4 linked regions of the Anolis sagrei genome follow. The protein of the gene in region 3 interacts with the protein of the main gene of each other region in a pairwise test. Links are inferred from orthologs where the notes say so. Each region holds a gene or a part of one and is shown on either strand. Other genes may lie near its edges. The genes, in order: ARHGEF3, COX5B, TRIM23 and TNFAIP3.

Region 1 (6,923 bases), about 210 Mb from region 3:
GGCTCCGTGATATGATATAATTCAAATACTACTTTGTGCACTGATATCGTGAGTGCTATTTATATTTTAAAGGGGATCAAATAAAACAGGACAAGAATGTAGAATATGTTACATTAAATGACACTAACTACTCCGCTGAGGAAATTACTTCTTTGTTCATATTAAATAGACATATCATGGTGTGCTACAAATTGAAGAAATGTTAAGAGGCAATATTCTAACTGGAACATGCCTGCTATGAAATGTATATCGGATTTGTGAGTTTAATTTGAGTTTATTTTAATAAAGCCATAAACAAATTATAGTGCCATAAACAAATTATAGTGCCAGACTTTCTCTGGACTTTCTCTGGAAAGCCTGGTTGCAGTAGAACAGGTGTATAGCCAATGAATGCGGTTAAACTCCTGGTCGCTGGTATTTTATAAAGGAAAAATGTTTTTAAGATGCTTTTAGGTTGGTAAATTATATGTTGAAGACATGTGGTACTTGATTTTGGGAAGGTGATGGACTAGATGTTTTCATCGACAGTCAGCCTTCCATATTCATGGGTTTGATGTATTGTTGAAGGATTTCATGGCTGGAATCACTGGGATGCTGTGAGTTTTCCAGGCTGTATGGCCATGTTCCAGAAGCATGCCTTCCTGACATTTTGCCCACATTGATGGCAGGCATACTCAAAAGTTAAAGGGCCTGTTGGAAACTAGGCAAGTGAGGTTTATATATCTGTGGAATGTCCAGGGGAGGTGAAAGAGCTCTTGTCTGCTTGAGGCAAGTGTTAATGTTGCAGTTGGCCACCTTGATTGGCACTGAATTACAACTGTACCTTCGGTTCGCTTCTGATACGATACATATTAACATTGAATTAGCATTCATGGATTTGGTTAATATATTATCTCTAGGAATTTATGTCCTAGAGAACGCTTCTCTATGCATTTAGAAGACCTCCAGCAATGGCCCCTGCCTATAGTTTCACTGGAGGACCTAGATACTCTTATTAGGGCGTTTTCTCACAACCATATAACCAGAATATCAAGACAGAATAACCCACAATATCTACTTTGAACTGAGTTATCCGAGTCTACACTGCCATACAGTATTTCAAAGTTCAAGGCAGATAATGTGGGATTTTATTCAGCTGTGTGGAAGGGGTCTTAGAGAACTACTTGCTGTGGTGAAAAGAAATTGTTGTTGTTGTTGTTCATTCGTTCAGTCGTCTCCGACTCTTCGTGACCTCATGGACCAGCCTACGCCAGAGCTCCCTGTCGGCCGTTACCACCCCCAGCTCCCTCAAGGTCAGTCCAGTCACTTCAAGGATGCCATCCATCCATCTTGCCCTTGGTCGGCCCCTCTTCCTTTAAAAATTGTTTGTTTTCTTCTTTTGTTGGGGTCCTAATCCCAGTAAATCTGGAGGGGTAAGCTGTAGTAAGGCAGATTCTTGGGGAATCTATGGAATTTGTTTCCAGGTCACCTGTTTAAAATCAGTGTGGCTACTTTCCCATTAAAATCTATTTTAAGATCATGGGTTGAAATGATGCTACTCTCTAGAAGTGTCAGGCTGCACCTTCCATTAGTCCTAACCAGCATAGCGGATAATGGAAAATGCTGGGAGTTGTAATGCAATATCTGAGAAGTTGGATGGCTCCCAAACCCTTAACATTAAGCAATTAGATCAATTTTCTGGGGACTCAACACTCCCCCCCCCCCCCCCCCCCAGTGTTATGTTGCTGTGTTCTAGATCTGACACTAATGGAGAGCCAAAGTGGAATCAAGTTTCAATACTTCTACAGTGGAGATCAGGCATGGGCAAACTTTGGCCCTCCAAGTGTTCCTGAATTGTGGGAGTTGAAGTCCCAAACACCTGGAGTGCCAAAGTTTGCCTGTGCCTATGTAGATACACCTTTAGATTGAATGCAACTCTCTGTGTGAAGAGCTGGAGCCTCAGATTTGCCACTTGCTTTAAAAAGAAAGAAAGTACAATGTGTTGTCGAAGGCTTTCATCGCTGGTTTGCTGTGAGTTTTCCGAGCTGTATGGCCATGTTCCAGACGTATTTTCTCCTGACGTCCACATCTAAGGCAGGCACCCTCAGAGGTTGCGAGATCTGTTGGAAACTAGGCAAGCGAGGAGCTGAACTGTTGACCTTGCTAACCAAAAGTTCACAAGTTTGAATATGGGGAGCGGCGTGCGCTACCCCTGTTAGCCCCAGCTTCTGCCAACCTAGCAGTTTGAAAACATGCAGATTTGAGTAGATCAATAGGTACCGATCCAGCGGGAAGGTAACAACGCTCCATGCTGTCATGTGGTCCACATGACCTTGGACAACGCCAGCTCTTCGGCTTAGAAATGGAGATGAGCACCAACCCGCAGAGTCAGACACGACTGGGCTTAATGTCAGGGGAAAACCTTTATCTTTACCTATGCAAGTGAAGTTTATATATCTGAGGAATGTCCAGGGTGGGAGAAAGAACTTTTGTCTGTTGAAGGTAAGTGTGAATGTTGCAATTGGCCAGCTTGATTATCACTGAATGGTCTTGCAGCTTCAATGCCTGACTACTTCCTGCTTGGGGGAACCCTTTGTTGGGAGGTGTTAGCTGGCCCTGATTGATTCTTATCTGGAATTCTCCTGTTTTCAGAGTATTGTTTTTTTATTTACTGTCCTGATTTTAGAGGGTTTTTAAAATATCGGTAGCCAGATTATGTTCATTTTCATTGTTTCCTCTTTTCTCTTGAAATTGTCCACATGCTTGTGGATTTCCATTGCATCTCCTTGTAGTTTGACGTGGTGGTTGCCATTCCACAGATCAATAAACCTCACTAGCCGAGTTTCCTTTTCCGACAGACCTCACAACCTCGGAGGATGCCTGCCAGAGATATGGGCGAAACGTCACGAGAGAATGCTTCTGGAACGTGGCCATACAGCCCGGAAAACTCACAGCAACCCAAAGAAGGTACAGTTGCATAGATCCCCTCAGCTCCAGGGCATGGTGGGAAATGCCCTGGCCTTGCATGGGGCGGCGCAATACAAAGGCGGCGTGGTCCAGCCCCCTTCCCCTTCTCTCTCCTGATGGGCCTCAACCAGGGAAGCCCCTCTTTGGGGAAGGCGGGAGGCAGGACTTCCGGGATGGCGGAGACCCCGGCGCCTCCTCCTCTTTCCCAGAAACCAAACACTGACACGTAGTAGCTGTTCCGAGTAGCACAGATTTCCCCACAAGGGCATCTTTCTCTCTCTCAGGCCAAGAAAAGCGCAACAAGTGCGCTCAGGCGCCAAAAAAAACCCAAAACAAAACACACAAACAAAATACCCAAACTGTTGGGTGCCAAACGCCCTTGTTAACGTCAGGAGAAAATGCTTCTGGAACATGGCCATACAACCCTCACAACCTCTGAGGATGCCTGCCATAGATGCAGGCGAAACGTCAGGAGAGAATGCTTCTTGGACATGGTCATACAGCCCTCACAACCTCTGAGGATGCCTGCCATAGATGCAGGCGAAATGTCAGGAGAGAATGCTTCTGGGACATAGCCATACAGCCCTCACAACCTCTGAGGATGCCTGTAATAGATGCAGGCGAAATGTCAGGAGAGACTGCTAGAACATGGCCATACAGCCCTCACAACCTCTGAGGATGCCTGTAATAGATACAGACGAAATACCAGGTGAGAATGCTTCTGTAAGATGGCCATACAGCCCAAAAAACCTACAACACCCCAGTGATTCCGTCCATGAAAGCCTTCGACAATACACAGCCCGAAAAACTGACAGCAACCCATCCCTTGGAGCCGTATTCAGGGCGCATGATCCAGTGTGTTAGCCTTGCCCTGCTGAAGGGTGCTGCTGGTGCCTCCGCCAAGCTCTACCTCCCTGAGATATTGAGATAGTATTGAGCCAGGGCGGTGAAAGTGGCGTCCAGGGGCGTTCGTGCCTCCACGGGAGTGGGGTGTTCCCTCTCCTCGCCGCGGGTGTCTCAGCTGGAAAGGCTCCCACGGGCGGCCGTTTTCCCCGAGGCGGCCGCCCAGAGTTTTTCAAACAGGAGAGAAGCGGAGCCAAGGGGAGGAGCCTTGCTCCGGAGCAGAAGAGGCAGAAGCAGCAGCAGCGGCAGCATTGGACGGGGAGGTGCCGCGCTTGAGCCCCACTTGCCCTCCTCTTTCCCTCCCGACCGGGCTCCGTCTCTCCTTCCAGGGCTGGAGGGAAAGGGGCCCCGCGGCTCCCCACAGCGCCCACCCTCCCGCAGCTCCCATGCAGGGCGAGGAGGAGGAGGAGGAGGAGGAGGAAGCAGCACGACGCCGCAGGTAAGGCAGCCTTCGCCAGCTGAAGCCCTCCCCCTTGGCAACAGCAGCACCCGCCGCCTCAGGCGCATTACTTGGGCACCGCTTTGGTGGCTCATGTGCCGGGGAAGCAGTTTGTAAACTCTGCCGCCTTCCCTTCCAAAAAAGGCTGGTGCCTCACCAAACTACAACTCCCAGGATTCCATTGCATGGAGCCTTGGCACTTCAAAGTAGTGTCAAATTGCATCCACTCTGCAGTGTAGATGCGCCCTTCGCTTTAGGACCGGGAAAGGACCAAACCATGGCTTCTTTGAGGTGGAATAATAATAATACTGTGTCACAAAAATTGGAAAATGGTCTGTTCCTGGTCTGAAAGTGTTATTTCCTGTTTAATTGTGCAGTACTTACTTTAGAAGAAGTTGTTATACTCCAGAAAGTTCGTTTTTGTGGCTGCCACAAATTATCTTGAATTGGATGACAGTGGTTCTCAACCTTCCTAATGCCGGGACCCCTTTATACAGTTCCTCATGTTGTGGTGACCCCCCAGCAGCAAAAATAATAACTCTGATTTTTGCTGCTGTTATGAATTGTCATGTAAATATCTGAAATGCAGGGTGTATTTTCATTCACTGGACCAAATTTGGCACAAATACCCGATATTCCAAATTTGATTACTAGTGGGGTTGGAGAGGGTTGAATTTTGTCATTTGGGAGTTGTAGTTGCTGGGATTTATAGTTCCACTACAATCATAGAGCATTCTGAACTCCACCCACAATGGAATCAAACCAAACTTGGCACATAGAATTCCCATGGCCAACAGGAAATACTAGGAGGGTTTGGTGGGCATTGACCTTGAGTTTTCGAGTTGTAGTGCACATCCAGAGAGCACTGTGGACTCAAATAATGATGGACCTGGACCAAACATGGCACGAATACTCAGTATGCTCAAATGTGAACACTGGTGGAGTTTGGGGGGAAATATATCATGACATTTGGGAGTTGTAGTTGTTGGGATTTATAGTTCACCTACCATCAAAGAGCATTCTGAACCCCACCAATGAGAGAATTGGGCCAAACTTCCCACACAGAACCCCATGACCAACAGAAAATACTATGTTTTCTGATAGTCTTTGGCGACCCCTCTGACACTCCCTTGTGACCCCCCAGGGGTCCTGACCCCCCCCCCCCGATTGAGAAACACTTCTTTATTTATTATTTATTTACGTATTTATTTCCTGCATTTCTATGCCGCCTTTCTCAGCCTGTAGGTGACTCAAGGCAGCTTACACTGGCACAATTCGATGCCACGACAATCATAAAACAAAATTAAAAATATTTAAACGCACATTATAAAAACCATATAAAAAGCATTAAAAACATATAAACACCAGTAACTTCTTATTAACTCATTTTTCCAAAGACATTGTCAAGCTTTAGGAGGTAGGTGATGGTGGATTCAACCCTGGCTTCCTTGAGGTTGAGTAATAATAATAATACTATGTAGCAAAATTTGGAAAAGTTTCTGTTCCTGGTTTGCAAGTGTTATTTCCTGTTTAATTGTGCAGTACTTATTTTGGAAGTAGTTGTTACACTCCAGAAACTTTGTTTTTGTGGCTGCCACAAACTATGTTGAATTGCTTGAGACTGGATGAGATATTCATTGAAAAACTATAGCAAAATGTGCTGCAGGATTTCCTGCCAAAACAAAAGTTTTTGCAGTTTAATAAACTTCTTCCATGTATTTATGATAGAACCAATTAGGAAATCATAGAATCATTGAGTTGGAAGAGACCTCATGGGCCATCCAGTCCAACCACCTGCCAAGAAGCAGGAAAATCACATTCAAAGCACCCCTGATAGATGGCCATCCAGCCTCTGCTTAAAAGCCTCCAAAGAAAGAGCCTCGTCCACCAAATGCCATTCATAACCCAGGAACAAAAATCAAGTTACATAGTGTAATAATAGCTTATTAAAAATGCTACCAGGACACTTAATTGTCTAGAGGAGGCATCATGGGGTACATCTACAGTGTAGGATTAATGCAGTTTGACACCACTTTAACAGGCATGGCTCAATGCTATGGAATCATGGAAGTTGTAGTTTTACCAGGCCTTTAGGCTACTCTGCCAAAGAGTGCCCCCAAACTAGAGCTCCTGTGATCCCATAGCATAGTCAAATAGCCCTCAAACTGCATTCGTTCTATAGATACACTCATGGTGTTCCCAGAAGGAAGCCATTGGGGAAAAATAGGAATACAGAGTAAATCAATTCCATCTGCAGATCACTTGGAAACTTGCCTTCCTTTTTTTCCTTCTGTGGTTTTCCCTAACATTTGTCCCCAGAAGGAAACTCCCTGTCACTGTTCAGCTGAGAACGTTTCCCACTTTCCCCTGCTGGTTGATTTCTGTGAAAGAGTGGGGGGGGGGGCGGGGGGGGGGGGAAGTGTTTTGGATGCAAAGGATGCCCCTCACAGGAAGGATGTAAGAGCCCTGATTTCCAAATGGGAGATGCTCATTGAAAGAAGCATCCAAGACACCCACACTGTGAATGGCCAACTGATGTAAATTACTGTCTCAGAGTAAACTCCATTAGTTGCCAATTGCTGGCATGGTTTCATGAACCACAACTACAGTTGTAACCAGTGAACACAATTATGGT
Region 2 (7,222 bases), on a different chromosome or scaffold from region 3:
CAAACTTGATGATCATGCTTTCTAACCCCTAATCTAAGTCAGTGGTTCTCAACCTGTGGATCCCCAGGTGGTAAACTGGCTGGGATTTCTGGGAGTTGTAGGCCAAAACACTTGGGGACCCACAGATTGAGAACCACTGATCTAAGCCATTAATAAAGATGTTGAACAAAACCAGGTCCATGATGGAAACCTGCGATACGCCACTCGTCATTTCTTTCCAGAATGAAGAAGAAGCGCTGGGAAGAATCACCCACTGGGTTCATTCACTTAACCAATTACAGATCCACCTAGCCATAGTTTTGGCTAGCCCACATGTATTTATTTCATGTATTTATACTCCGTCCTTTTCACCCCCGAGGGGTGGACTCAGGGTGGTTTACAATAGGCCACCACTAGATGCCGGACATTAAATTAAGAAATTAATTAAAAAACAATTAAAACAATTATAAACATCCAAGATTTAAAATTCTAAAATATCTTGAGTTTAAAATCGTGATCCAAGATCAGTCCATTACCAGTCTCATCAGTCACATTCGAATCACTATATGTATTGCTCAAAGGCTTAAGAATTTTTTTTGGAATGCAAGGAGGGCCTATCTATATAAATAAAAATGTAATGTTCGTTTGTGGGATTAACATAACTCAAAAATTGATCTTGTCATTTGGGAGTTGTAGTCGCTGGGTGTTATACGTACTTTATTTACAATCAAAGAGCATTCTGAACTCCACCAATGATGGAATTGAACCAAATGTGGCACACAGAACTCCCATGACCAACAGAAAACACTAGAAGGGTTTGGTGGGCATTGACCTTGAGTTTGGGAGTTGTAGTTCACCTACATCCAGAGAGCACTGTGGACTCATACAATGATGGATATGGACCAAACTTGGCGCAAATATTCCATATGCCCAAATATGAACACAGATGGAGTTTGAGGAAAATAGACCTTGACATTTGGGAGTTGTAGTTACTGGGATTTATAGTTCACGTACAATCAAAGCGCACGCTGAACCCTACCAACGACAGAATTGGGGCAAACTTCCCACACAGAACCCTCATACTTAAGGCCATCCAGTCCAACTCCCTTCATCAGGACAAGAAAACATAATCAAAGCCCTTCTGACAAAGAGGCATCCAGCCATAGGTATAGATAGATATATATGATTCACATAGAGAGAGATATAGTACCATAGATTTGAAAAGGACCCCTAAAAAGGACAATGATATGTTGCATGTTCCAGAGCAGGCAAACCAGACAATCTCCAAATCAACACTGACAAAGAAACAGCAAGAAATACTGTTTACCCACAAGCATAAAGAAATTACATATATTAGAAACCAACACTTTCTAATTACTTTATTTTCCAGATCAACAGCCTGGGCCACAGCAACGCGTGGCAGGGGACAGCTAGTATCTATATAATTAAAAATGTAATGTTCATTTGTGGGATTAACATAACTCAAAAATCACTGGACCAACTGACACCAAATTTGGGCACAGTACACGTATCAGGCTAACAAGTGACCATCACTTGTAAAATCACTGAAAAAAACCTCAGTGTACAATAAAAGCTTGTATATCAACTGTACCTCGGGAAGCCATGGAGCCCCTGGTGGTGAAATGGGTTAAACACCTGTGCTGGCAGGATTGAAGACCGACAGGTCGCAGGTTCAAATCCGGGGAGAGGCGGATGAGCTCCCTCTATCAGCTCCAGCTCCTCATGTAGGGACATGAGAGAAGCCTCCCACAAGGATGATAAAAACATCAAATCATCCGGGCGTCCCCTGGGCAACGTCCTTGCAGACGGCCAATTCTCTCACACCAGAAGCGACTTGCAGTTTCTCAAGTCACTCCTGACACAACAAAACAAACAAACAAAAAAAACCCTCGTGAAGCCATACTTGGCCACGGTGGTCCAGGCCTTAGTTACATCTCGAATTGATTACTGCAATGCACTCTATGTGGGGCTGCCTAAGAGCAGTACGTGTGAAAAAGACCACTGGGGGCTCCGTTTATATTGGACAACAAGTTAAACATGAGCCAACAATGTGATGTGGCGGCAAAAAAAGCCAATGGGATTTTGGCCTGCATCAATAGGAGCATAGTATCTAGATCTAGGGAAGTAATGCTCCCCCTCTATTCCGCCTTGGTTAGACCACACCTGGAATATTGTGTCCAATTCTGGGCACCACAATTGAAGAGAGATATTGACAAGCTGGAATGTGTCCAGAGGAGGGCGACTAAAATGATCAAGGGTCTGGAGAACAAGCCCTATGAGGAGCGGCTTAAGGAGCTGGGCATGTGTAGCCTGAAGAAGAGAAGGCTGAGAGGAGACATGATAGCCATGTATAAATATGTGAGAGGAAGCCACAGGGAGGAGGGAGCAAGCTTGTTTTCTGCTTCCTTAGAGACTAGGACGCAAAACAATGGCTTCAAACTACAAGAATGGAGATTCCATCTGAACATGAGGAAGAACTTCCTGACTGTGAGAGCCGTTCAGCAGTGGAACTCTCTGCCCCGGAGTGTGGTGGAGGCTCCTTCTTTGGAAGCTTCTAAACAGAGGCTGGATGGCCATCTGTCAGGGGTGATTTGAATGCAATATTTCTGCTTCTTGGCAGAATGAGATTGGACTGGATGGCCCATGAGGTTTCTTCCAACTCTTTGATTCTAAGACGGTTCAGAAGCTTCAAATAGTGCAAAGGAGGGAAAAGGAAGGGGCCTGAGCTGTTAGGGATTGCGGGGGTTGAAGCTCAAAATACCTGGAGGGAAGGCCCAAGTTGGCCAAAGTCTGTGTGAAAATGCCCTAACCCAGCCTCACCTCCGGCTCCCATGCAGCGAGAGGCTCCGGCCAGGCGCAGCGGCCCTAGAGGGAGGGCATTCCGGCCCGCGGCGAGCCCTTGGAAAAGGCCGCAGACCCTGAGTAACCTTGACGCCATGGGGAACGCGAGGAGCTATAATAGGCCTTGTCCACAGGCCTGTTTCCGCTTTCCGGGGGAGGGACTTCCTCCCACGCAGGCGCCGTTTTAACCAACCGTTGTCCAACAGCAACCCCTCCGACGCGCCGCTCAATGGGCGTGGCCGTAACCGCCGAAGCTGCACACCCATTGGACACGTTGCCTCGTGGGCGTGGCCTGGGAGTGAAGTTTCCTTTCTTTCCAGTCAGTAGGGAGGCGCCATTTTGGAGTGGAGTGGAGAGGAAGGGAAGGAATTTACCTGGTTGGAAGGAGAGAGATATTGACAAGCTGGAATGTGTCCAGAAGAGGGCAACTAAAATGATCAAGGGTCTGGAGAACAAGCTAGGCCTGGGCTATGTTTTGTCACTCTTCTTATAGGATTCTTATAGGCTGAGGGGAAAAGGAACTTCATGTATGGCTTCCCTGGAATGAGAATATAAACTTCAGGCAACTCTGGCCCTTTTAGAGCTCCTAGAATATCATAATAATAATAATCATGATAATAATAATAATTTATTTATCAGCAACTAGACCATTGGATTACATTCCTAACAGAACAAAACAAACACAAAACAAAAACCACAGATTTTGCAAGCTTGGTAGTTGATTAAATGTCCTTTGACCAGTATCTGGCCACTTGGAGTGCCTCTGGTGTTGCCGCAAGAAGGTCCTCCATTGTGCATGTGGCAGGGCTCAGGTTGCATTGCAGCAGGTGGTCTGTAGTTTGCTCTTCTCCACACTCGCATGTCGTGGATTCCACTTTGTAGCCCCATTTCTTAAGGTTGGCTCTGCATCTCGTGGTGCCAGAGCGCAGTCTGTTCAGCGCCTTCCAAGTTGCCCAGTCTTCTGTGTGCTCAGGAGGGAGTCTCTCATCTGGTATCAACCACGGATTGAAGTGATGGGTTGGAGCCTGCCCATTTTGGACTCTCGCTTGCTGAGGTGTTCCAGCGAGTGTCTCTGTAGATCTAAGAAAACTATTTCTTGATTTAAGTCGTTGACGTGCTGGCTGATACCCAAACAGGGGATGAGCTGGAGATGTCACTACCTTGGTCCTTTCACTATTGGCTGCTACTTCCCGGCGGATGTCAGGTGGTGCAATACCGGCTAAGCAATGTAATTTCTCCAGAGGTGTAGGGCGCAGACACCCTGTGATAATGTGGCATGTCTCATTAAGAGCCACATCCACTGTTTTAGCGTGGTGAGATGTGTTCCACATTGGGCATGCATACTCAGCAGCAGAGTAGCATAGCGCAAGGGCAGATGTCTTCACTGTGTCTGGTTGTGATCCCCAGGTTGTGCCAGTCAGCTTTCATATGATGTTTCTAGCGCCCACTTTTTGCTTGATGTTCAGGCAGTGCTTCTTGTAGGTCAGAGCACGGTCCAAAGTGACTCCCAGATATTTGGGTGTGTTGTAATGCTCCAGTGGGATTCCTTCCCAGGTGATCTTCAGAGCTCGGGATGCTTGTCTGTTCTTAAGGTGAAAGGGGCATGTCTGTGTTTTAGATGGATTAGGGATCAGTTGGTTTTCCCTGTAATAGGCAGTAAGAGCACCTAGAGCTTTGGAGAGCTTCTTTTCAACCATCTCAAAGCACCCTGCTTGAGTGGTAATGGCACGATCATCAGCATAGATGAAACTCTGTGTCCCATCTGGCAGTGGCTGGTCATTTGTGTAGATGTTGAACATGGATGGAGCAAGCACGCTCCCCTGAGGCAGGCCGTTCTTCTGTTTCTGTTGTTGACATGCTGGCTGATACCCAAACAGGGGATGGGCTGGAGATGTCACTGCCATTATTATTATTATTATTATTATTATTATAAAAACTTTATACCCCGCCACCATCTCCCCAAGGGACTCAGAGCGGCTTACATGAGGCCAAGCTCAACAACACATCAATAAAAACAAAATGCAATAAACAAAAACAATAAATACAATACAATTAATATTAATCACATATAAACAATAACCAATACACAGTAACACACAAGGATTTAAAAACCAGCTGCTGATCCGGACAAAAAGGAATGTAATAGTTTAAAATGTAATAGTTTAAAAATTAAAAAAATAAACGCTGGGCATGAACAAGGTAGGATATATCTGGTATAGGGTTTTAAAAATAATACTAATAAAAGAGTAAAAGAATAAATAACCTTGACTCGAGTATAAGCCATGGGGAGCTTTTTCAGCCTAAAAAGAGGGCTGAAAAACTAGGCTTATACTTAAGTATATACAATACACACACACACACACACACACATATATATATATATATAAAGAGAGAGAGAGAGTGGTGTAGCATAGATAATATAAATCTATAGTGTTTTTCGGGAGAAAAGTCCTCTTTAGTTCATTATAGAGCTGAGGAAACTTGCAATGAAAGTAAAGCATTTTAAATATACTGTATATTGTTTATAGTGGATGTCTTCTGGGAGCTGGCCATAGAATTGCACTGGAAGACTTAGCCTTGATCTACACTTCCGTATCGTCCAGTTCAAAGCAGATAACCTGGATTCATAAACTGGATTATAGGGCAGTGTAGATGGGGCTTTTCCGATTCATCCAGCATGACCTTACTGTCAACTTTTGCTGGAAGCCAACCATAGATCTGAACTGGAGGATCGAGAGAACATTTTGAAAATCCAGTCCATCAATATTCAAAACTGGAAATGTATTGTATTTGCATAAGGGGGGAATCTTGTTACTGATTGGCTCACCCTGTCGCCAGCTTTAGTGCCCTGCTTCTGATTGGCTGCTTTAGGAATGCATTCTTTTTGTTGATTTTCAAAACAGGTGGGAGTTAGAGAGCCGTTGGAGCAGCCAGGTAAGGACTTCCTCCAAGTTGAAGAAGGGAGACTGCTTTCCTTTTTGTCTGGATGAGCAGCTGATGAGTTTCTGACTCCTCCTTTCTATCTTATTGGTGTCAGTATGCTTCAGTCAACCAGATTTCCCTCAAAAGTGGGCTTCATCAGGCCTAACTCCCACCCAAATTCATTCCTACAAGGGAATCCTGCAATTTATCCTGAATTTTCATCCCCAAGGCCTTCATAGCTCTCTCAACGAATGAGCCAAATGTTAAGATGGCCTCTGTCTGCAAATGCAACAAAGCCCCTCCTCCCAAACCCCCCTCAAGTTCCTGTCATTTTTCACCTGGTGGGTGCTGCAGTGACCCAGGGGGGCGGTAATGGCCACAGGTGCATTTGGGGGCGATGAATAATTGTAAGGGGGCGGTGAAAGCATAAAAGAAAGAAGAAAATATTTCAAAAAATTGATTTCCAGAGGGGTAGGCCAAATAAGTTTGGGAACCACTGATTTACATTTTTCAATAGATATGGTCACCAGGCACAAACTTTTCATTAAGAAGTTCTGCTTTGAAGGGGGCAGAAACAGAAAGAGAAGAAGCCCCGGAAATGGCTCCTCTTGTTTAATGAATGGGAGTGAAATATCTCCTGGTTCACAATTGGGAAAGCAGTACGGCAGGGCTGTATACTCTCACCCGACCTATTCAACCTGTATGCAGAACACATCATGCGACGTGCAGGGCTTGACGAATCCAAGGCTGGAGTTAAAATTTGCTGGATGAAATATTAACAACTTTAGATATGCAGATGATAGTACTTTGATGGCTGAACGCGAGAAGGAGCCAAGGAGCCTTCTAACCAAAGTAAAAGAAGAAACTGCAAAAGCTTGGTTTCAGTTAAATATCAAGAAAACCAATATAATGGCAACCAGAGTGATTGATAACTGGCATATAGAGGGAGAAAATGTGGAGTCAGTGACAGACTGTATTTCTAGGCACGAAGATAACTGCAAGTGCCGTCTGCAGCCAGGAAATCAGGAGACGCTTCCTTCTTGGGAGAAGAGCAATGGCCAAATATCACTCCTGGTGGTGGTGCCCAGCTTATTTGTCTGAATGTATTTCCCTCTTGGTGGTCTGGGCATACCAAATCACATCTCCTGAGGAATCTGTATGAGGACCAAGTAGCAACAGTAAGAACTGACCATGGAACACCAGACTGGTTCAAGATTGGGGAAGGCATACAGCAGGGTTGTATACTCTCACCCAACCTATTCAACTTGTATGCAGAACACATCATGCGATATGCGGGCTTGACAAATGCAAGGCTGGGGTGAAAATTGCTGGAAGAAACATTAACAATCTTAGATATGCAGATGACACCACTTTGATGGCCGAAAGCAAAAAGGAGCCAAAGAGCCTTCTAACCAAAGTGAAAGAAGAAACTGCAAAAGTTCGGTTTCGGTTAAATATC
Region 3 (7,251 bases):
TCTATCTGAAAACAGTTGGCACCAAACATAAAGAATTGTGTTCATGACAGAGGAAGATACCTAACAGACCCTGTGGGAAAGGTGTGTGTAATTACATTTGTAGAGAGGAGCTATTCTTCCAGCACCAGCTGGTTGTGGAGTTATTAAGAAGGGCTACAAATTGCATTGTACAGATTAAGGGAATCCCTGTTTCAGAGGCAATGACATCCAAGTCTCAAGAGGAGTTTGGCCTTTTTTTCCAAGGCATCACAGTGGAAATAAAAATAAGGATTACTCATTTCAATTTTTTCCTTTTAGTTATTTCCAACATGGTAACCCTAAGGCACAGGTTTGCAGCTTGGGAGTTCTCCTGGACTCATAGCTGAGTTTGGATCCCCAGGTTTCGGGGGTAGCGAGGGGAGCATTTGCATAATTAAAACTTGTGTGCCATTTGTCCTCATACCTTGGGAAGTCAGTCTTGGACACGGTAGTCCACACTCTGGTTACATCCCGTATAGACTACTGCAACGCACTCTACTTGGGGTTGTCTTTGAAGACTGTTCAAAAGCTTCAAATGGTCCAACGGGTGGGAGCCAGATTGCTCACTGGAGCAGCGTACAGGGAGCATACAGCCCCTCTGTTATGTCAGCTCCACTGGCTGCCAGTCTGCTACCGAGCACAATTCAAAGTGCTGGCTTTAGCCTATAAAGCTTGAAATGGTTCCGGCCCAGCTTACCTGTTCGAACGTATCTTCCCCTATAAACCACCTCAGAGATTAAGATCGTCTGGGGAGGCCCTGCTCTCGGTTCCAACCCCTTTGCAGGTGTGACTGCTGGGGATGAGAGACAGGGCCTTCTCAGTGGTGGCCCCTTTGGTGTGGAATTCCCTCACCAGGGATATTAGATCAGCCCCCTCCCTCCATAAGACCTTCCATAAGAGAGTGCAAACGTGGCTCTGTGACCAAACCTTTGGAGAACTTGTGCAATAGAGAGATATGGAATGTTGTGCAATGAGTATTGGAACAGCCCAGATTACGCTTGAGGATTACGTTATTGTGAAGGTATTTCCATAAATGCAGGGTAGAAATGTCACAAATAAGCAAATAAATAAGGCAGTGGTTCTCAGCCTGTGGATCCCGAGGTGTTTTGGCCTACAATTCCCAGAAATTCCAGCCAGTTTACCAGCTGATTTTCGGGACCCACAGGTTGAGGGTCACTGCCCTATGGTGACCCAGGGCCCTTCCACACAGCCATATACATTATAATTTCCTCCTACGAACCTGTGCGATCTCTCCGATCTTGGGGGAGGCCCTCCTCTCTCTCCCGCCTCCATCACAGGCACGGCTTGTGGGGACGATGGAGAAGGCCTTCTCTGTGGTTGCCCCCCAGCTCTAGAACTTGCTCCCCAAGGAGATTAGACAGGCACCCACCCTGACAGTCTTTAGAAAAAGTTTAAAAACCTGGCTTTTCCTGTGTGCTTTTGGGGACTGAACTATCAATTTCCATGCCATGTCCTGTTCCAAGTCCAACTTGACTTTCTGATGCTCTTCATCTTATCTCTAAGTTGAAGATTAATTCTACTGTTATCCCGTTTGAGCCCCCTCACAAATTATAGCACTTTCTACCTACCCCACCTATGAGTTTTATCAATTTCTATCCACTTTTAGTCATGAGCCTCGCTCTCTTTTTCTAATTCTATTACCATTTTATCGTGTGTTTTTATTATGATTTTGTTATTTTCATTTTATTATGTTATTATTAAGTATTTTATTTGATGTTATTGTTTTGTTTATATGCATTTTGCTCTATTGTAATTTCATTTGGGCTTGGCCTCATGTTAGCTGCCTCGAGATGGTGGAGGGGTATAAATAAAGTTGATTATTATTATTATTATTATTATTATTTGAAACACAACAAGATGAGTCCACAGCAGACAAGATCTCTCTGCTGGCTGTTGTATTGGATCACATGTCAGACACTTCTAAATGGTGTATTTTAATATCTGATAAATGTTTTTTAATGTTTATGTATTGTATGTGAATTTGTGTCTCAGTATTGAATGTTTTCTGTGTATATGCTGTGCTTCGCCCTGAGTTCCCTTCGGGGTGAGGGCGGAATATAAATGTTTTACATAAATTGTCGAAGGCCTTCATGGCCAGAATCACTGGGTTGTTGTAGGTTTTTTTTCGTGCTATATGGTCATATTCTAGAGGCATTCTCTCCTGACGTTTCACCTGCATCTATGGAGCCCCCGGTGGCGCAGTGGATTAAAGCACTGTGCCGGCAGGACTGAAGACGACAGGTCACAGGTTCGAATCCAGAGAGAGGCAGATGAGCTCCTTCTATTAGCTCCAGCTCCTCATGCGGGGACATGAGAGAAGCCTCCCACAAGGATGATAAAACATCAAAAATCATCCAGGTGTCCCCTGGGCAACATCCTTGCAGACGGCCAATTCTCTCACAACAGGAGCGGTTGCTCCTGACATGACAAAAACAAAACAAAACACCTGCATCTATGGCAAGCATCCTCAGAGGTAGTGAGGTCTGTTGGAAGTAGGAAAATGGGTTTATATATCTGTGGAATATATTTGTTTTATGTGTGTGTGTGTGTGTGTGTATTTCTATATATATATATATATATATATATATATATATATCCCACCCTAGTCTTTCCACAGATATATAAACCCGTCTAGAACAGGGGTCCACAAACTTTTTAAACAGAGGGCCAGGTCACAGTCCCTCAAACAGTTGGAGGGCCGGATTATAATTTGAAAAAAAAACATGAATGAAAATCCAACAAATGCTACGTTCAGCAAAGGACAAGAGGGATCCTCTCACCTCGGCAGGAGTCTACCGTATACCATGCAGCTGTGGACAAGTCTACATAGGGACCACCAAACGCAGCATTGCCCAGACACGAATCATGGAACATGAAAGGCACTGCAGACTACTTCAACCAGAGAAGTCAGCCATAGCAGAGCACCTGATGAACCAGCCTGGACACAGCATATTATTTGAGAACACAGAAATGCTGGACCACTCCAACAACCACCATGTCAGACTACACAGAGAAGCCATTGAAATCCACAAGCATGTGGACAATTTCAACAGAAAGGAGGAGACCATGAAAATGAACAAAATCTGGCTACCAGTATTAAAAAACTCTAAAATTGCAACAGCAAAACAGCAGAGAGGAAACAACCAGGCACATCTTAACACCTCTCAACAGAACATTTTCCCAGGCTCAGCCAGGCCTTCAAATGCTAATGAAGGTGGTCAGCTGAAACATTCACACCTAGCTCCAGCAGAGAAGAGCTCTTTGCCCCACCCCAGTCATTCCACAGATATATAAACCCATTTTCCTACTTCCAACAGACCTCACTACCTCTGAGGATGCTTGCCATAGATGCAGGCGAAACGTCAGGAGAAATGCCTCTAGAACAGTGGTTCTCAACCTGGGGTCCCCAGATGTTTTTGGCCTTCAACTCCCAGAAATCCCGGCTAGTTTACCAGCTGTTAGGATTTCTGGGAGTTGTAGGCCAAAAACATCTGGGGACCCCAGGTTGAGAACCACTGCTCTAGAACATGGCCATATAGCCCGAAAAAACCTACAAGAACCTCATGAATGAATTCCTATGCACACTGCACATATCTTATTTGTAGTGCAAAAACACTTTAAAACAATACAATAATTAAAATCAAGAACAATTATAATAAACATAAGCTTATTAGTATTTCAATGGGAAGCGTGGGCTTGCTTTTGGCTGATGAGATAGGATTGAAGGCCTCGGGCCTCCACTTCAGAGCCTCCATGAAGTGAAGGGAAAGCGAGCCAGGCTGGACATACCTTTCAAGGCCAGGAGATGCTCCTGCTTGGGCTGGGTGACATCCATGGCCTCAGCCTCGCCACTTCGGGGCCTCCTCCTTTAGACGCACAAAATCCCTCCAGCTTCTGCCGGAAGCACTTCCCCTTTTCTCCCGCCTCCACCACACAACGAAATGAACCCTCTCTGCCTTTGGCCCACTCTCTGTTCGCCCTAGCGTTGGGAACTACATCCCCCAGAATGCCCTTCGGGTAGGCGTGCTGAGCTTCCTCCAAGCTGTCAAGGCAAAGCATGATGGTAGCTGTAGTCTTTCGCGACTGGGAAGGAGCATGAAGCGTGACGTCGAAGGAGACATGCGCAGTGCAATAGGAAACCAAATCTTCGGCGGTTCTCATTGGTGTGACGTCAGCGCGCAGACCCTCCCCGCTGTTTCCAGGGAAACTACGCTGTGGGCGGAGAAAGAGCGGGGAGCGAGCGGAGTGGGCGGATGCTGCTGCTGCTCGGGCTTTCTCCTTCCCTTTCCAAGATGGCGGCGCTGAGTGTAAACAAGGTCGGGGCTGGCGCAGGGATAGATGCCGGGAGCAGGCCGGGACGGAGCCCGGGCGGCCCGGTAGTGAAGGTGAGGAGAGCGGGAGAGGCCCGGGAGGCTTTCCTTCGAGGCTCGCCGCCTTTGGGGGTGGGAAAGGCCATGAAACCCTTCGGCTGTAGAGAAGGCCGCAAATATTTCTGCAGTAGGATGTGATCCTTCTGTGGATCGATTATCTGGTCGACTGTGGGTGCATCTACACTTTCATATTAATGCAGTTTTGACACCACTTTAACTGCCATTGCTCAATGCTGTGGGATCCTGGGTGTTGTAGTTTTGCAAGGCCTTGTCTGTCAAAGAGAGTAGGTGCCTCAACAAACTACAAAGCACAGGATTGCTATAGCATCTTTGAGCCCCTCCAGACAGCCATATAACCCAGAATATCAAGAGAGATGATCCCACAATATCTGCTTTGAACTGGGCTGTCAAGAGTCCGCACTGCCATATAACCCAGTTCAAAGCAGATAATGTGGGGTTTTATAAAGCTGTGTGGAAGGGGCCAGAGTCAGCAGCTAAAATGCGGTCAAACTGCATTAATTCTGCAGTGTAATCTATATAAATAAAAATGTAATGTTCGGGTTGTTGTAGGTTTTTTCAGGCTATATGGCCATGGTCTAGAGGCATTCTCTCCTGACGTTTCGCCTGCATCTGTGGCAAGCATCCTCAGAAGTAGTGAGGTCTGTTGGAACTAGGAAAAAAACAGACCTCACTACCTCTGAGGATGCTTGCCATAGATGCAGGCGAAACGTCAGGAGAGAATGCCTCTAGACCATGGCCATATAGCCTGAAAAAACCCACAACAACAGTGATTCTGGCATTGAAAGCCTTCGACAATACAATGTAATGTTTGTTTGTGGGATTAACATAACTCAAAAACCACTGGACGAATTGACACCAAATTTAGACACAAGACACCTCTCAGGCCAACGAGTGACCATCACTCAGAAAAACACTGGAAAACACAGTAGAAGGGTCTTAAAAGCCACAAACAAAAAATACATTGCAACACGTGCAAAACCACATATATACCGCAAACACACGTATATACACATATACAAATAGATACACACATATGCACATATATACACACACAAAACACATATACACAGACTGGGCCACAGCAACACATGGCAGGGGACGGCTAGTAATAATAATAAACTTTATTTATACCCTGCCACATTATGTTGACTTTTGTATTGGTTGAAATTAAACATAGTCAGTTAATGAAACCTCTGTGAGTGAGGCTCCTGTATAGAAATTATTTTTATTCTGCCTTGAATTTCATGATGGCAGAAAGGCAGAATCTAAATAAAGTAAATGTCCACCCAGGCCCTCTTTTCCTCCATGAATCTGGCATATTTGCAGCAGCACTAGAGGATGGCTGAGGAAACACACTTTAGATACTACGTTACAGCAGTTGATCTACAGTAAAAAAATAAAATCTGTAATAAAACCTGAGCTGAGAAAGAATGGGATTCTGCTTTAGGGTATTCTTTCTCTATTATTTCTACCTCTGGTATCAAACTTTCTGTTAAAGAGGAAATGCCTAGTAACACACCTACTTTGTTAACTGAGGTATGTCTGTACTCCTTTGTAACTTTTAGGTTCTGGAATGTGGAGTCTGTGAAGACGTATTCTCATTACAAGGAGACAAAGTTCCTAGACTGCTTCTGTGTGGCCACACTGTTTGTCATGACTGCCTCACTCGACTTCCTCTCCATGGCAGAGCAGTTCGATGTCCTTTTGATCGGCAGGTTACTGAGCTAGGTAAGATACAGAAATAGTAATAACATTAACATTGAAATAATCATATTGTGGCACCAAAATTCTGAAATTTAGTCAATAAAAGCATAATTATATTTAAGCTTTATTCATATAGCTTTTGTGCGTTGTATTGTTCTAGACAAAGACATATGTAAATTATATTAGAACATTGTAATTGTAATTAAGTTTTTATTTTAGTAGTGCAAGCGTAGCTTTAGAAACAAACCCATATTGGTTGGAAGGTAACTCAAACATTTTGACTGTGCCATTCAAAAATAGTAGCCCTTCTCTGTGCTACAAAAGTTGTGGAAAATTTTACAAATTAGTGAAATGTAACCTTGGAGATTGTCAGAGTTCTATGGCATTGAATTAATTGGCAAATATTCTCAGAATTGGGCTATTTATTTATCATGTCAGGAGCGAACCAAACAGTTGTATTGTATTTAAAAAACACACAGAGAGGATTTGCAAACTCTATTAAATGTCCTTTGACCAGTACCTGGCCACCTGGAGTGCCTCCGGCGCTGCCACAAAAAGGTCCTCCATTGTGCATGCGGCAGGGCTCAGGTCGCACTGTAGTAGGTGGTCTGTGGTTTGCTCCTCTCCACACTTGCATGTTGTGGATTCCACTTTGTAGCCCCATTTCTTAAGGTTGGCTCTGCATCTCAATGTTCAGTGCCTTCCAAGTCACGCAGTTTTCTGTGTGGCAGGGGGAGTCTCTCATTTGCTATCAGCCATTGATTGAGGTTCTGGGTTTGGGCTGGCCTTTGGTAAGTGTGGTTGGATAAGCTTTAAAATTAAACCCAGGATGTAAAAGTTACTGAGTCCAGCAAGGGATTTTTCTCCGTAGTCAGCTTAACTAGACACGAAAGCTTTGTTTCTTTGAGCATGTTCCATAGCTCACTAAGCTATTTCAACTGCATATTTTTAAATAAATTTCTAGCTTTGTAAAGAAAGCACCTATGGTCAAAACATAGCCTGCTGTTCATGATAATGCAATATCACTGGTGGCAGAATTAGATTAGGAGAAATATGATATAAATGAGGTTGTGTTTCTTATGGAAGGGGAGCTTAATCATATTTTCTGTAATGCAGT
Region 4 (7,274 bases), on a different chromosome or scaffold from region 3:
TCCTTTTGGCTTGAGTTCAGCTGCCTAATTCACCATAGCACTACTCACAGCTGTCTTCTGTTCTGTCTCAGTAGTTTGTTGAGTGCCTTCCAACCATATCCTATCAATTTCTGACATTATTTCTTGTTTAATTTTGCATTATTTCATCACTGGGTTTTCATAGTAACTTTAGAAGCAGTTTACCATGCCTCTTTCTGCATAGTACTATCAAGTGTTATCTATGGTGATTTCACTCCTATCTCGACCACTACAGTTTAACAATAATGTCTCACCTCTCATCAGTTGATAACTGACTTCATTTTTCATAGCCTGAAATATTTAAAATTGACAGAAATCTCAATTGTGCATTTCTGTAGCTACTGCATAGTTTGCATTCACACTATATACTTTTAAAACATGGGCATAACATTCAAGCATTAATTTAATGGAATATCCTTAACAAAGTTAATACAGTCCATAATATCCCAAGAGCAAAGATTTGCTGTGGGTGCAATATCTTGTCCCACCATAATATAATTACTTATTTAGCCCCTTATCTTGACCCTTCATTTTTTCTTTGTTAACGTTTTAACTATATGTTATCCAAATGTATCTCTCTTTATGAGCCAGGTAGAGCATTAAGATCGGTCCCGCAGCCCTCGCAGGTGCGACTGGTGGGGACGAGAGACAGGGCCTTCTCAGTAGTGGCCTTTCGGCTGTGGAACTCTCTCCCCCATGAGATTAGATTGGTCCCTCCCTCCTGATGTTAAGGAAACTACTCAAACAAGTTTTTCAAACAAGCATTCAGAGAATGAGATGATGTAGTCCAAGATATCTTGGGACTGGTGTAATGTTGAATGTCTTATGTTTTATGTTTGTTTACATCCAAAGTTTTATAGATTACTGATTTTAATCTATTGTTATTTGTTTTTAATAGTGTAATACATTTTATATTGTGAGGTTTTGAATTTTGCCATTTGCTTTGTTGTGAACCACTTTGAGTCCCCCTACAGATTGAGAAAAGTGGTATATAAATGAAACAAACAAATAAAATAAAATAAAATAAAATAAAATAAATAAATAAATACGATTGTGAGAGGGATTCCATCACAGGCATTAAATAAAATGCTGCATTGTGTACACGGCAAGTCCTAGCAGTATATTATACATTAAATATTTAAGAGCTAAGTTGTGTAACACAAACTTGACATCAAAAAATCACATTATTCTCCTTAAAACAAATAAAGCAAAATTATTTGGTGTACCTATGTACGGCGCTCCATGCAGTCATGCCAGCCACATGACCTTGGAGGTGTCTACGGACAACGCTGGCTCTTCGGCTTAGAAATGGAGATGAGCACCACACCCCAGAGTCAGACATGACTGGACTTAATGTCAGGGGACTACCTTTATCTTTACCTTTTATGCTTATTTTACATTTTCCTTCTGCTAGTAAGCCACAGGAATAGTCTTTACATTTATGTTTTATAGTATTGGTGGTTTAATCTTTGTTATATATATATATATGCTTTGTATAGTCCTTAGTTTTATTTGTGTATTTTAATTATGTTGTACAGCACCCCACCACGATCTGTAACAAATAACATTTGTTGTTGCCAAATAATTTTCCATTGCAATTCAGGATTCCTTTCCCACTTGACTAATAGCAACAATATGAAGAAAGAAAGAAAAATCTGATAATGATGTTTCTTGCATCACAGCTCTCTGATCATTTCCCATCAGATGCTTACATAAATTGGGAAGTACTATTTTGTTCTCCTTTTGGGACCCATGGCATTCTTGAAAAATAAGGACTCTGCCAATCCATTTCCTTCTGTGTTCTTTCTGGATCACATATATGACTGTTAGGAATTGTAGGAGTTAAAGTCCAAAACACCTGGCGGGCTGAAGTTTGCACATGTTTTATTTACACAATAGAATGACTACAGCTTGACACGACCTTAACTGCCCTGGCTCAATGCTATGGAATGATGGGAACTGTATTATACAAGGCCTTCAGCCTTCTCGGCCAAAGAGTAGTGGTGCTTCACCAAACTCCCTATTTTATTATTTTATTATTTTATTGTTTATACCCCATGTTTTTTCTCTATATGGAGACTCAAAGCGATCCATAATCCAAAACATTACAACTTAAAATATACAATAAAACAGCATATCATTATATATTATCAGTAGTCATTATATTTAACATATTCGTATATTTAATATATTAGTATTACTATATTACAATATTATTCTATACTATTATATTGTATTATTGGTATTATATTGTATTCCTTTATATTATTATCAATATTATAGGACTATACAATATATTATATTATTAGCATAGCACAATAGTAGTATTATACATTACTATATTGTACTATACCACTATACTGCAATATTATTAGTAATATTACATGTAATATATAATATACTTGTATTATATTATTATATATTATTATATTGTACTATATTACTATACCACTATATCTAATATTCTACCAGTTTATACTACTACTATACCACTATATCTAATATTATACCAGTATATAATACTATTGGTATTATATAATATATTGCACTATATCACAAGTTGTAGTATATATATTACAACATTATTAATATTATATATTTTAGTATTATTACATTACAATGTTATTATTTCTATATAGTATAGTATTGTATTGTATTGTATTGTATATATTGAGGGGGCTCCCAACTTCAAGCAGTCTTAAGCTGCATTCCTTCTACACTGTAGATCAGTGTTTCTCAACTTGGGGGTCGGGACTCCGGGGGGGGGGGGGGGGCGTCAAACACCATCAGAAAACACAGTATTTTCTTTTGGGTTCTGTGTGGGAAGTTTGACCCAATTCTATCATTGGTGGGGTTCAGAATGTTCTTTGATTGTAGGTGAACTAAATTCCAGTAACAACATCTCCCAAATATCAAGGTGGCACAGTGAGTTAAGCCGCTGAGCTGCTGAACTTGCTGATCGAAAGGTTGCAAGTTCTAATCCGGGCAGTGATGTGAGCTCCCGCTGCTAGCCCCAGCTTCTGCCAACCTAGCAATTTGAAAACATGCAAATGTGAGATCAATAGGTACTGCTCCAGCAGGAAGGTAATAATGCTCCATGTAGTCATCCTGGCTACATGACCTTGGAGGCGCCTACGGATAATGCTGGCTCTTTGGCTTAGAAATGAGCATCAACCTCTGGAGTTGGACACGACTGGACTTCGTATCAGGGAAAACCTTTGCCTATTTTCCCCAAACTCCAACAGTGTTTACATTTGGGCATATTGAGTATTTATGCCAAATCTGGTCCAGATGTATCATGGATTGAGTCCACAGTGCTCTACCTGGATGTAGGTGAATTACAATTCTAAAACTCAAGGTCAATGCCCACCAAACCCTTCCAGTATTTTCTGCTGCTCAAGGGAGTTCTGTGTGTCAAGTTTGGTTCAGTTCCATCGTTGGTGGAGTTCAGAATGCTCTCTGATTGCAGGTGAACTATAAATCCCAGTAACTACAACTCCCAAATATCAAGGTCTATTTTCCCCAAACTCCAACAGTGTTCACATTTGGGCATATCGCGCATTTGTGCCAAACTTGGTCCAGTGAATGAAAATACACCCTGCATATCAGATACTGACATTACGATCCAAAACAGTAGCAATATTACGATTATGAAGTAGCAACAAAAATAATGTTATGGTTGGGGGGTCACCACAACATGAGGAAGTGTATGAAGGGGTTAGGAAGATAATAGGAAGGTCGAGAACCAGTGCTGTAGATGCACTTGAAAAAAAACTCGGGCAAGAGCCACAGCTGAAGCAGGGAAGAATCACGGTGGGGATACCCCAGGGGAGAAACCCAGGCTGCCAAGCCAAGGAGGAGCGATGATGACGTCAGTGATGTTGATGATGATGATGATGATGCGAGGCAGTCGGAGTCACGTGCCGGCGGCAGCGGCGGAGGCTTCCGCGGGCCTGGCTTCTCGCACAGCAGCGCCACCTAGAGGCCGGCCACAGCGCCAGCAGCAGCAGCAGCAGCAGCGCCGGCAAAGGCCACCGCGAGTGTCACATGCCTCCCGCCGGAAAGTCCCTCGCTTGCCTCTCCGTGGCTCTGGAAATCCCCAGCCCTTTTTTTCCTGCACTGGGGTGAGGGAGGGGGCCCGCCTGGCTCACAGTCCGGCTTCTAGAGGAACAGGAGAGAGGCAGGGCAACCACACGGGAACCTACCTTCCTTCCTTCCTTCCCACCCGAGAAAGCGGATTAAGCCATGGCAGCCTAGCGCCGGAGAGGGTTTGCATCCAGAAGGATTGAGGAGGAGGAGGAGGAGGAGGAGGATTTCTCCAGCCCTCTCCAAGCTGACAACGAGTAAGTACTTCGCCTGGTTCTCTCTCTCTCTCTCAGTCCCTCTCCTTTCTTTCATCCCTCTCTCCCGCTCTTCCTTCCTTCCTTTCCTTCCTTCCTTCCTTTCTTCTTTCCTTTCTTTTTTCCTTCCTTCCTTTCCTTCCTTTCTTTTCTATCTTTCTTTCCTTCCTTCATTTCTTTACTTCCTTCCTTTCCTTCCTTCCTTCCTTCCTTCCTTTCCTTCCTTTCTTTCTTTCCTTTCTTTCTTCCCTTCCTCCCATCCTTCCTTCCTTTCCTTCCTTCTTTCCATCCTTCCTTCTGCTGCTCTTTGGACTTTGGGATTGTTTGGGGGTCCAGTAAGGACTCGCTTCGGGATGGATGGTGGTAAACAAGAAAAGGGTGCATCTTATTCTCCTGTAGATACTGTAGAATGAATGCAGTTTGATACCGCTTCAACTTCCCTGGCTATGGAATGCTGGGAGTTGTCGTTTGGTAAGGCATCAGCCTTCTTTGGCAGAGATCCTGTCAGACTCCCAATTCGGTAGCACTGAGCCATGGCACTTAAAGTAGTGTCAAACTGCTTAAATTCTACAGCGTAGAACAGGGGTCCTCAAACTTTTTAAAACAGAGGGCCAGGTCACAGTCCCTCAAACTGTTGGTGGGCAGGATTTCAATTTGGAAAAAAAAAAGAATGAATTCCAATGCACATTGCACATACCTTATTTGTAGTGCAAAAACACTTTAAAAGAATACAATAATTGTTACGAATAACAATTTAGACAAATATCAACCTATTAGTATTTCAATGGGAAGTGTGGGCCTGCTTTTGGCTGATGAGATAGGATTGTTGTTGTTGTTGTTGTTGTTGTTGTTGTTGTTGTTGTGTGCTTTCAAATTATTGTTGTGTGACTCTGAGTGAGGGCCGGGTAAATGACCTTGGAGGGCCATATCCGCCCCGGGCCTTAGTTTGGGGACCCCTGGTGTAGAAGATGGACTCAGAGGAGAGGAAAGTGCACCCAGTTGTGTTTCTGCTATCACCAGGAAAGTTAAAACAAAGGCTGATTGAGGGCCCTTCCACACAGTACTATAACCCAGAATATTAAGGCAGTAAATCCACACTCATCACAGAGAATGAATCCACTTTAAATCTGGTTTCTGCCTCCTGCAGAATTCTGGGGTTTGCAGTTTAGTGAGGCTGTTTAAGTCTCCTCCCTAAACTACAAACCCCAGAATTCTGCAGGACACAGACACCAGATTTAAAGTAGATTCATTCTCTTGTTTGATGAAGTTAAGTGTTGAACTGCCAGTGTGGAAGGGCCCTTAGCCCCCCTTCTTCAAAATACTACTCCAAAATCTGAAATAGCCCACCTGAATGTTTGAGAGAGTCACACCTCTGCTTTCTGATGGTTCACTTTGCCAAACTTTGTTTCATGCAACATATTTTAAAAATACTTTTGTGCATCAGGTTATTATAAGGTATGATTAAGACATACGATTTCCTGTTTATACTTGGATGCCAGCTCCAAGGTTACCTATGTATTTGGAAATATAGAAATTCCAAAATCTGAAAGCATGCCTTTCCTCTTCTTTATTTGTACCAATCCATGCAAGTTTTCTAATCACTTGAAGCCCCTAATCAGGAATAAAGGAAATGTGGCTGATTATTTATTTATTTACGGTGTTTGTATACCACCCTTCCCAAGCCTGAAGAGCACTCAGAGCAGTTCACAGGGCAATTATCCCCAACCCAAGATTTGGCCATGGATATTATGATGTGTTGTCCAAGGCTTTCATGGCTGGAATCACTGTGTTGTGCTTCTTCCAGGCTGTATAACCTTGTTCCAGAAGCATTCTCTCCTAACATTTCACCCTTATCTGTGGCAGGCATCCTCAGAGGTTGTGAGACGTCTGAGGATGTCTGCCATAGATGCGGGTGAAACATCAGGAGAGAGTGCTTCTGGAGCATGGACATATAGCCTGGAAAACTCATAGCAACTCAGAAATGATGGCTCCACAGGATTATTTTTAAAGAAAGGAGGATTGTTTTTTAACCAATGTTAAAAGAAGTGGAAGGTGACCAGAGAGAAGAAGCAAAAAGGAAAATACTAGTTGTCTTTGCTTCCCATCATGTGCTGAGAAACAATTATTTATTACCCTTAAGAGTTTGGTTGTTGTTCATTCGTTCAGTCGTCTCCGACTCTTCGTGACCTCATGGACCAGCCCACGCCAGAGCTCCCTGTCGGCCGTCACCACCCCCAGCTCCTTCAAAGTCAGTTGTAAGAGTTTGGTACAAAATAGTAAATAAATTCTGGGATTGTAGGCTGGGAACAACAAAAACCTAGTAACAAGCAGGTAATACTTGTTTGTGGCATTGAGTTACATAACAACATGACAGCTCATACATAAGTATTTATCCCATTTTAAAAAACAAGGATTTGCATGAGATGCATGGACGTTGTGCTGTGTCATATGTGATACTGACATTTTAAAGATCCAATGGTTCTTTTAATTTTAATTATTATTCGCTTTCTCATAGTTTCATAATTATCAATATTGTGGTAACATGAACAAGTGATCTTAAACAGACTTACAAGGCAGTAAATCCATTAAATTCAGTGTGACTTTTGGGTAAACAGGCATAAAATGATATTGTCAGGTATTAGGTTGCTTAAAGCAGTCGCTAATTTCTCAGACTCCAATTGGTTATTTTTTTAATCCTCAAGATTTATTTTCACAATTTTTCCACCTTTGCTTAAGAGATGTGACATTGTAATCCATGTTATACTTCAGGATCTGCACCAGTGAGTTTAGTAGTAGGGCTAGTACTAGACACTAGACTTTTTCTAGTAAAGCACCAGCTCCACCTCCTTAGGTTAAGGCACCTATTATCCAAAACCAGTCTTGTAGTTTTAGCACCTGGAGCAAAACAAACCCTAC

The links.
Region 1: the proteins of TRIM23 (region 3) and ARHGEF3 interact in binary tests that used the Homo sapiens proteins (3 or more experiments, as listed by UniProt). The link is inferred for Anolis sagrei from reciprocal best matches to the Homo sapiens genes TRIM23 and ARHGEF3.
Region 2: the proteins of TRIM23 (region 3) and COX5B interact in binary tests that used the Homo sapiens proteins (3 or more experiments, as listed by UniProt). The two-hybrid records come from large-scale screens. The link is inferred for Anolis sagrei from reciprocal best matches to the Homo sapiens genes TRIM23 and COX5B.
Region 4: the proteins of TRIM23 (region 3) and TNFAIP3 interact in binary tests that used the Homo sapiens proteins (3 or more experiments, as listed by UniProt). The two-hybrid records come from large-scale screens. The link is inferred for Anolis sagrei from reciprocal best matches to the Homo sapiens genes TRIM23 and TNFAIP3.

The regions. Positions count from the first base shown.
Region 1 is NC_090022.1:58,067,924-58,074,846, forward strand, and holds the start of ARHGEF3 (rho guanine nucleotide exchange factor 3), read left to right. Parts: upstream 1-3,906; 5' UTR 3,907-4,235; coding exon 4,236-4,288; intron 4,289-6,923. UniProt on the Homo sapiens protein: Acts as a guanine nucleotide exchange factor (GEF) for RhoA and RhoB GTPases.
Region 2 is NC_090027.1:24,180,309-24,187,530, reverse strand, and holds the start of COX5B (cytochrome c oxidase subunit 5B, mitochondrial), read right to left. Parts: upstream 3,019-7,222; 5' UTR 2,939-3,018; coding exon 2,821-2,938; intron 1-2,820. UniProt on the Homo sapiens protein: Component of the cytochrome c oxidase, the last enzyme in the mitochondrial electron transport chain which drives oxidative phosphorylation.
Region 3 is NC_090022.1:268,041,835-268,049,085, forward strand, and holds the start of TRIM23 (E3 ubiquitin-protein ligase TRIM23), read left to right. Parts: upstream 1-4,249; 5' UTR 4,250-4,292; coding exon 4,293-4,424; intron 4,425-5,995; coding exon 5,996-6,158; intron 6,159-7,251. Other genes in the region: TRAPPC13 (trafficking protein particle complex subunit 13), read right to left, coding at 3,829-3,874.
Region 4 is NC_090021.1:79,201,722-79,208,995, reverse strand, and holds the start of TNFAIP3 (tumor necrosis factor alpha-induced protein 3), read left to right. Parts: upstream 1-4,262; 5' UTR 4,263-4,361; intron 4,362-7,274. UniProt on the Homo sapiens protein: Ubiquitin-editing enzyme that contains both ubiquitin ligase and deubiquitinase activities.